Linked DNA regions of Arabidopsis thaliana. The protein of the gene in region 1 interacts with the protein of each later gene in a pairwise test. Each region holds a gene or a part of one and is shown in the gene's direction. Other genes may lie near its edges.

Region 1 (4,352 bases):
AACAACCAGCAGCCTGTCTGGTACTTCGAGGATAAGATTGTACTTAACGCTCTTTTCTCAGAAGATGGTCGGATGGAGCGCGGAACCTTCCTCGAGGTAAAAGACTAATATATGATAAAGAGTTCATTAACAATACAGCACCATGTTAGTCATTGACTAATAGTGGAGAGGGCTTATGATATTAAGATGGGCGAGTAATTAGTGACAGATTTTGTGCCTTAAGAAGCCTGGGGGAGTTAGGGTGCTGTAGATCTTAACATATGATATGGTTTTCATCGATTTAAGTTTCTAGACTCAGTAAGAACTGAAGGAAGATATTGATTTCTGATCATAACTATATACCACAGTCTTAAAAACCAGTTCTTCTGAGTTATAAAACATTTGTTTTTTTGATTAGACATGGAAATCGTTACCGGATTCAAACGAGGTGCAGAAAGAATTCCCCGGGATAACCATCACGAGCGTGGAGTCAACACTTGATTTACTCGCCGCATCAAACATGTTCTTCATAGCAAAGCGTAAGAATGGGAACCAAGACGTCCTCTATCTTTCGGCCAAGGTACCAAGAGGCATACCGTTCCTGATCGAACTAACGGCCATAGTGGGTCAACCTGGTCTGAAATGTGCAGTCAAGACTCCAACCCCTGAGATCGCTCCTCTCTTCTTTGAAGCAGTCGAAATTCTCTTCAAGGCTTGATTTGATTTTACACTGCCCTAAGGTAAGCAAATTTCTTCTTTTAGTGTATGTAGTAAGTGAATTGTTGCCGACTTCTTGTTTCTAATTTTTGTGTTGGAACCCACTCGTTTTTTTATTCTCGTAAGAGCTTTGATTTTTGATGTTGTCGTTGCGTATATGCCCCAAAAGGTTTTTGATTAAACTAGTGTGATAATGACTTATTATCAGCAAATGCTATTTTTAGTGTTCAGTGACCGACATGAAATCAAAAAGTTTCCTAAGTGGAGCGAAGAGATTCGTACACGTAAACCAGTTGAGAATTTGGTACCTTCTTCACAACAGATAGGCGTAGATAGATAGATACTGGGCCCGTAATGCGACGTAGCAATTTCCTAATATCAATATCAATCATGATTTCCTGTAACATGCGGTTACAAAATAGCTTCGTCGAAACTAATCTTCTTTTAATTATCGATTGATTATTAAATCAATTCAAAACCAAAACTAATTGAAAATTTTAAAGCTTGAGGGGGACTAATAGTAACGTGAGATTGAAGTAATGCCACCGAATATAAGGGTTGAGTAAGGGCGCTACACGCCATCACATAAAAGGGATTATACTATCAATCAACTAATATTTTTGTAACTTAAAATGAAATACCAAAGTTTCGACATTATTGGTTTATGAAAGCTCACCATTGTATTTTAATTTGATCAAAACTATACATTTTAGTTGAGACCGTAAGTACAACAAAGGTCCAAGCTTGAAAATACTTTTTTAGACAATTTTATCATTTACTAAATAGAATAATTATTATTTGTCCCCACCAAGGGTTTATACTTTATATCAGTTTATCTGTAGATAATGTTTTAAATCTGTTCATATCCAATATTTTACTAAATATAAAAAAATTGTTTTTCTGGTTAATCAGTTTTTAATTTTATTTTGAACCAAAAGTATGAATCATAATTTTTAGATTTAAGATACTATAAGTAGTGCAATCATTAATTTAAAACTTGCTTATATAGTTATAACTTATATGGTTAATATTGTATATCCCATAAAATAATACTAATTACCTTGGTGGTCAAATCATGAAAATCTTATTATAAAAGGGCTAATGGGAAATATTCTTAAGAAAATCCAGAGTTTCCTTGTACGATATGGTTTGTGATTAATGAATATAAATACAAAAAAGTTTGATTAACAACCAAAATAACAATTAAAGTAAAGAAAATTGTGATCCCTTGATTTTATCTCTCTGATAAAGTCGCCTCTTTCGTCGCAGCTAGTCTTCTTCGTCGCCATCAGAAAATTCTCATTCAACACAAAACCTCAAAAAGTTTTCCCAGAAATCCTATCAAAAGAAGGACTATATCAAGCTTCTGTTTCTGTTTTTTAGGTAACTAATGATTTTTTTCTTCTCCGTTACAAAAGTCACTTTATATTTTTGTTTTGTAGGATCACTAACTCTGTTTGTGAGGTTCTTCTTTTCTGTTTTCGTTTGTTCTGTTTGGTTGTTCTGAGATTTTTTTTTTTTTTTTTTTTACTTCTGTTTCAGCCCACTTTTTTAGTTTCCAGGTTTTACTGTTTTTTATTTTTTTAACCACTCTGTTTTCAGTTCTTCGTCTATTAGGGTTTGGTAACTAATAGTATCTCTGTTATGGTAAACCAAGTTTTTTTTTTCATTTGAAAGCTCAAGATGTTCTTAGGATCATATGATTTTCCATGAGTATTCAACATGAAATTTACTTTCTTCATAATGAACCTCATAAGTACACGAGAGTCTTTAATCTTATATTTGTCATCACAATGGATACACATATTTGTATTGCTTTAATCTCTGTGACTATTATTCTCTCATTGTTAGTGTATAGTTAGCTATGTTACATTGAAGTACTTGTGGTGTTTGAGTTTGGTTTTCCAGTTACTTAGTATGATCACAGAGCTAGATTTTGCCTCCCATTAGAGTTTCAATTAGGAGTCTTATGAATTTTTTCTGGATACTACAGGTCTTTTGGTAACCTAAAGAGCTGCTATACACTGATCTGAGAACTGTCAAAACTTTATCATACCAAAGAATGGGTTGCTGCTGTTGTCTCCCGAGTATACCCGAAGTAAAGCCTCTACGTCTTTCTTGTTTGCAGCCTTTTTGGGTTTTGGTTTTTGTTTTCTTATGTTTTATTGTTTTCTGTAGAGCTCAAGAACTATAGATGAGCATCTTCCCTTATCTCGTGCCACGCCTTCCTCTCTCTCTAATGCATACAGTTCACCTCTTTCGCCGCCTATTCCTTTAGCCATCACGAATATAAATCTTCAAACTAGTCCACCGAAATTGCCAAGAACTCAGGGCAATTCGAGTGAAGCATCCCCGGGACTCACACAAGTTGTTCCAGAGAAGAAAACATGGCATGTTGATGATCTAACTGATTTTGAGCTAAAGAAACAGTATCGAGAAGCAATCGATGAATGTCCAATTTGCTTAGAAGGTATTTTGTTTATCATTCAAAGTTACATGTTAAATATAACATTTTGGTAAATATCTTCATCTTGTTTGTTTGCAGAATATGAGATTGATAACCCGAAATTGCTCACTAAATGTGGCCATGACTTTCATCTCGCTTGCATTCTTGCATGGATGGAAAGAAGCGAGGCGTGTCCAGTTTGCGATAAGGTTTGTGTCCGTTTAAAATCCGCCATTTTCACAATACATTTTGAACTTCTTGAGTCACTAGAATCTGTTTTGACAATAGAGTCTACTTTTTGGGTATTCTTTTCACAGGAATTAGTGCTCACTGAATCATAATCGTGAACAAGAAACCAATAGCTCGGAACAAGAAGTGCGAAAAACGGTACAGAAGATTTGATATAAACAGGCATTAGGACTTACTCTGGTGGTATGATGAACATTGTTGCTCTCTACTACATTCAGAAGCTTTCACTTCCTTTTGATGATATACAGAAATTAGATTTGATTGTTTAATATTCTTTGAAAAACTCTTATGTTTAAGATTTGTTTCTGAATCTGAATTAATTCGAGAAAAGTTGAAGAACAGTTTTAGAAGAGCCTGAAAATTCAGAGATTTTACTGTGATAAAAAAGGATTCTCTGACAAATTTCTTAGATAACAGTTTTTTTTATTACTAAACCTTCTGTATAAATCTAACTCTTATGACTAAAATAATGATAATTAAAAAAAAACAAGAAACTCTAACCTTTATAACTTTTACAACAAGAAAGCCCTAAAAGCTTCTCTCTATTACGGTGAAGTGTTATGAATCTGATGAACATTGGATAAAAGCCTCGTTAACTTACTCAATGTCTCTCGAGCCGACACAGTCCCAGGATGATCCTCTCCTGAGATCGAAGTTCTTATGAAGATTGCTTTTCTGATCAAGTCATCAGCCAAACCAAATTGCCCGCCTCGTAACATCAGCTTAGCTCGAGTCTCTAGCACGGTGGCTCGAGCTAGAGCAAGTTCTTCCCATAGAATAGGGTTTAGTTGTGCACTTGTCTGAACTGGTCTCCAGCAAAGCGACTTGTCTAGCCATTTCTCTACTGGTGTCACTAGCGTTTGGTCAGCTGCTTCAAGTGCGTTTGTGCAGACCCTTAGTAGCTCCACTGAGGCTGTGCATCGCGAAAATGATATGAACGTTCTGATTGCAAGAGGCAAGA
Region 2 (3,933 bases), on another chromosome or scaffold:
TCTACTATACTTTTACTAACTTTCCCACCTCCAATTAAAAAAATTATTACGAAATAAACAAAGTCATATCTCTCTCCACAACATAATTACTTTATTCAACAAATATTAATTCCTAGTCATATTTTAGCTCCTCTTCTTCCTTATATATTACATACATACATTTTCTTTAGAAGTCATTACCATCAACCCATCCCCTAGAAAAACACAGAGAAAAACAAATACAAGAATACAAAAACCCTCTCGACGAAACCGAAGTATCGAAATGAGAAACAAGAATGGTAAAAGAGGTAGCGTTGAGCCCTCGGCGAGGACCGTGGCGTCGGTGGTTGCTAATGGGAGGTTTGAAGGAAGATCACCATCGAGCGACACATCATCATCACAAAACTCGTGCCTGACGAGGACGGAGGAAGTGAAGGAGGAGGTTGCATCGTCGTGGGTTGATGAAGAAGAGGCGCCGGAGATGGTGGTGATGGGATGTCGAAGTTGTATGATGTATGTTATGGTCTTACAAGAACGTCAACGTTGCCCCAAGTGCAAATGCACCGACTTGATCTTCTTTTAGAGAATTTGTTTTAAGTTATTATTCAATTTGGACTTTTGAGTTTGAGATGATGAATTTAATTTTCTTTGTAAAGTCCTCTATATAAATCATATTGTTTAAATTATAATCTCTATTTTAATATGTTAAATTGACAGACAGATCATTTCTGTTTGTGGCCGTCCCTCTTGGTTCATTTTGTTAAGTTGTCCATTTTCATGTTTTAGTACTATGGAAGCCAATGACATGAACGAGGATGGATTTTCATCGGAGTTGAATTCGATTGTTTCAAACGCTAGTTATGGCGTTTGCGTTTATATTTATTTATTTGTATACTCCAGAGAAACATAGTTTTTCAATGTAAATGAAAAACGCCAAAAAAAATAGAAAGTTTATTTTTAAAAATTACAAAATATAAATTTAAACACAAGTAAAAAAATCGACACGTCTCGAATTAGGGTCTTAAGAATCAAATTGGTAGTATGCTAATAATGGTATTGCTTTGGTTTCATCGGCATTCAATCCGATGAAATTTTCAATAATTAAGGTTAAAAGTTGTATCTTCATCAATTAAAACGTTATTTATTCAAAACAATTCACCATCAAATTCAATAAAATTTAAGAACTTTTACAAACTTCAAATATTAAATTATTTAAGAAAATATTTTTAAACCTAAATTTAGTGAAAAAGTAGCAACTAAAATTTGTTTTAATGTATTTTATGACATTTTTCTATTTATAAGTACTAAATTTTCAAAAATCTAATAAATAATTAATTTCTGTTTTTCATATATATTAAGGCACATGCGACGACATATATACGTGACAACATTTTATCCTAAAGTTTTAACATGATTTTTGAAAAAGAAATTTACATTTTACGATAATTTAGTTGCAAATCAAGCGAGTTTTAATATTTCAATAATTTTCATGTATATAGAAATTTTGCATTGCTAGTTAAAATAATAACAAATAGATGTTGTCAAAACTCGAAAATAAAAGGGGTGTTTCTGTAGTTATCATAATTTAAGGAATTATATGATAGAAAAACAAATTTGGGCGGTAAATTTGAAAAAAATAACTTTTTCCAGTCTCCCCAAAAGTACCCGATTTGCCAAATTTGACCCTCCCATTTTAGCTTTCTGTCTATTCACCAGATTCTCTCTATTCGATTCTCCCTTTACTTCTTCTCGTCTCTCTTCTCTGCTCGTCAGATCTCAAAATCAATCGGATATCGAAACCACAACTTCATCAATTATGACTCTTGGCTCAGGAGGATCTAGCGTTGTTGGTATAAAATTTCGATTCTTTCGGGTTTGTTCTCGTTTTTTGATTTTGATTCTAGGGTTTTGGAATAATCCCTCGTTTGTTTTTTTTTCTCTAGGGTTTTGGTGAATTCTTCTTTTGGTTTTATTCGTTTTGATCAATAGGTGTTGAGATTTCTCATAGGTTCTATCGATCTAGTATAAAAAATTGTAGCTTTGTCTAAATTGTTCGCATATAGCTTGATCTGAATCAATCAATTTTAACAAATCGCTGAGAATGATTTGCTGATGTCTCAATTCCTGAGATGGGTTTAAAATGCTATTCCTGAGTTTCTTATTGTTTCTAAGACCTTAGCTAGGAATGTTTTCATCTTCTCTATAGCTCATTGTTAACTTTGTTGAGTGTTATCTTATTTTAGTCTTTGTGGATAATGATTAATATGATATGTTCTGTTCTCTGCTTTGATTAAAAAAAGTGATTGCTTGTTTTCATTTACTGATATGAATTGTTTTTGTTACGCTTGTTATTGCAATATAGTTCCGAGGAATTTTCGGTTGTTGGAGGAGCTTGAACGTGGGGAGAAAGGTATTGGGGATGGAACTGTGAGCTATGGAATGGATGATGGAGATGACATCTATATGCGTTCTTGGACTGGCACCATCATCGGTCCTCACAACGTAGTTATATCTTTTTCTTTATCTGCTAACATTCTCCTTCGTCTTCATATATGTTAACAATTGTTTTGAGAAGCATAGATTAATATTATTTGCATCTCATTGCTTGGAATACAGAACATCAAAACCACATTGTTTTCTAGGCATTGATCTTATCGACATACAATCTCTTAAGCTTTATTTGAGCAGATTATGCCATTGTTGCTTTTGCTTGTAGTAACAGAGATAAATTTTATGTCACAGACTGTTCATGAAGGTAGAATCTATCAGTTGAAGCTCTTTTGTGACAAAGATTACCCGGAGAAACCTCCAACTGTCCGATTCCATTCACGTGTCAACATGGCTTGTGTCAACCACGAAACAGGAGTGGTACGTATAAACTCACCACCGCCCTTCCTTTCTCTGTTTTGTTTCTTTGGATGCTCTGTAATTTTTTTATGCGTATGTGTATAGGTGGATCCTAAGAAATTTGGGCTACTTGCAAACTGGCAAAGAGAGTACACAATGGAGGATATACTGGTACAGTTGAAGAAGGAAATGTCTACGTCGCATAACCGTAAGCTTGTTCAACCTCCGGAAGGTACTTGCTTCTAGTTACTTCTGGAATCTTCTTCTGGTTTGCTAGAAAATCATTGCCCCTTCTAATACCAAAGTATGTATCTGGGGGTCCTCCATTGTCGTTCTCAACGCTTTTTTTTTTTTAATTCATCAAAAAATGGTCTGTGTGGATGGTATGGTGATGATGATGATGTTGTCCGATTGATCATCTGAAGTTTTATCATTGTGTGCAAATATCAAAAACAGCTTCTCTTCCTCACTCCATGTGTTCAATCTTTTGAATTTAACATTTTGTGTCAGCCCTTTTTTTATATATAAATGAAATCTGCTATATTTAATTGGTTATTTGTTATGTAATACACCAAGGTTAAAACAAGAAAGTATCATAAAAAATCATGAATCTTTGTAATCCGAACTAATGGAAAAAGAAGCCATGAACAGCTTCGTAACCCTTATTTTTGTTTCTGTGATTCATCTAAAGCCAATGCTTACGGTGATTAATAGAACCTTTGAAAACTAAGTGTTACTTTTTTCTACAATTAGCACACTTCTTATTGATGATGATGCACGTCGATTTGCATGTACTTCTTGATGTTCCGCGTCGTCGTTCTTGACATAGAAACAATCATTCTTCGACATGTAGACTTCTACTTTTAGGACACTGTTTAACTTGCTTGTAAGTTGATTACGAGTGGTCTTAACCATAAACGGACTCCATGAAAGTTGATTACGAGTGGTCTTGGAAAATCAACTTATTAAATAAATGAAAAAAGTGGTTGAACGTAATTAAACCTATAACACATTTACACATTGCTCAGAAGCTCAATTAATTTATGTTTCATCAGATTTCAAGCCCAAACATTAACACTCATGGTTGGATTGATCCAGCCTGGATCT

The links. Proteins that work in one complex are often made in the same cells at the same time.
Region 2: the proteins of AIRP1 (region 1) and UEV1D-4 interact in binary tests that used the Arabidopsis thaliana proteins (3 or more experiments, as listed by UniProt).

The regions. Positions count from the first base shown.
Region 1 is NC_003075.7:12,240,244-12,244,595, reverse strand, and holds AIRP1 (RING/U-box superfamily protein), read left to right. Parts: upstream 1-1,889; 5' UTR 1,890-2,134; exon of another isoform or gene 2,135-2,160; intron 2,161-2,204; 5' UTR 2,205-2,405; coding exon 2,406-2,542; exon of another isoform or gene 2,543-2,730; coding exon 2,731-2,794; intron 2,795-2,874; coding exon 2,875-3,166; intron 3,167-3,241; coding exon 3,242-3,351; intron 3,352-3,459; coding exon 3,460-3,483; 3' UTR 3,484-3,792; downstream 3,793-4,352. Other genes in the region: AT4G23460 (Adaptin family protein), read left to right, coding at 1-96, 398-697; AT4G23440 (Disease resistance protein (TIR-NBS class)), read right to left, coding at 3,937-4,352. UniProt on the Arabidopsis thaliana protein: Possesses E3 ubiquitin-protein ligase activity in vitro when associated with the E2 enzyme UBC8 in vitro. Plays combinatory roles with AIRP2 in the positive regulation of the abscisic acid-mediated drought stress response.
Region 2 is NC_003074.8:19,493,817-19,497,749, reverse strand, and holds UEV1D-4 (ubiquitin E2 variant 1D-4), read left to right. Parts: upstream 1-1,654; 5' UTR 1,655-1,795; coding exon 1,796-1,829; exon of another isoform or gene 1,830-1,852; intron 1,853-2,341; coding exon 2,342-2,481; coding exon of another isoform or gene 2,482-2,484; intron 2,485-2,667; coding exon 2,668-2,847; intron 2,848-2,931; coding exon 2,932-3,072; 3' UTR 3,073-3,373; downstream 3,374-3,933. Other genes in the region: AT3G52561 (uncharacterized protein), read left to right, coding at 263-562. UniProt on the Arabidopsis thaliana protein: Has no ubiquitin ligase activity on its own. The heterodimer with UBC catalyzes the synthesis of non-canonical poly-ubiquitin chains that are linked through 'Lys-63'. This type of poly-ubiquitination does not lead to protein degradation by the proteasome.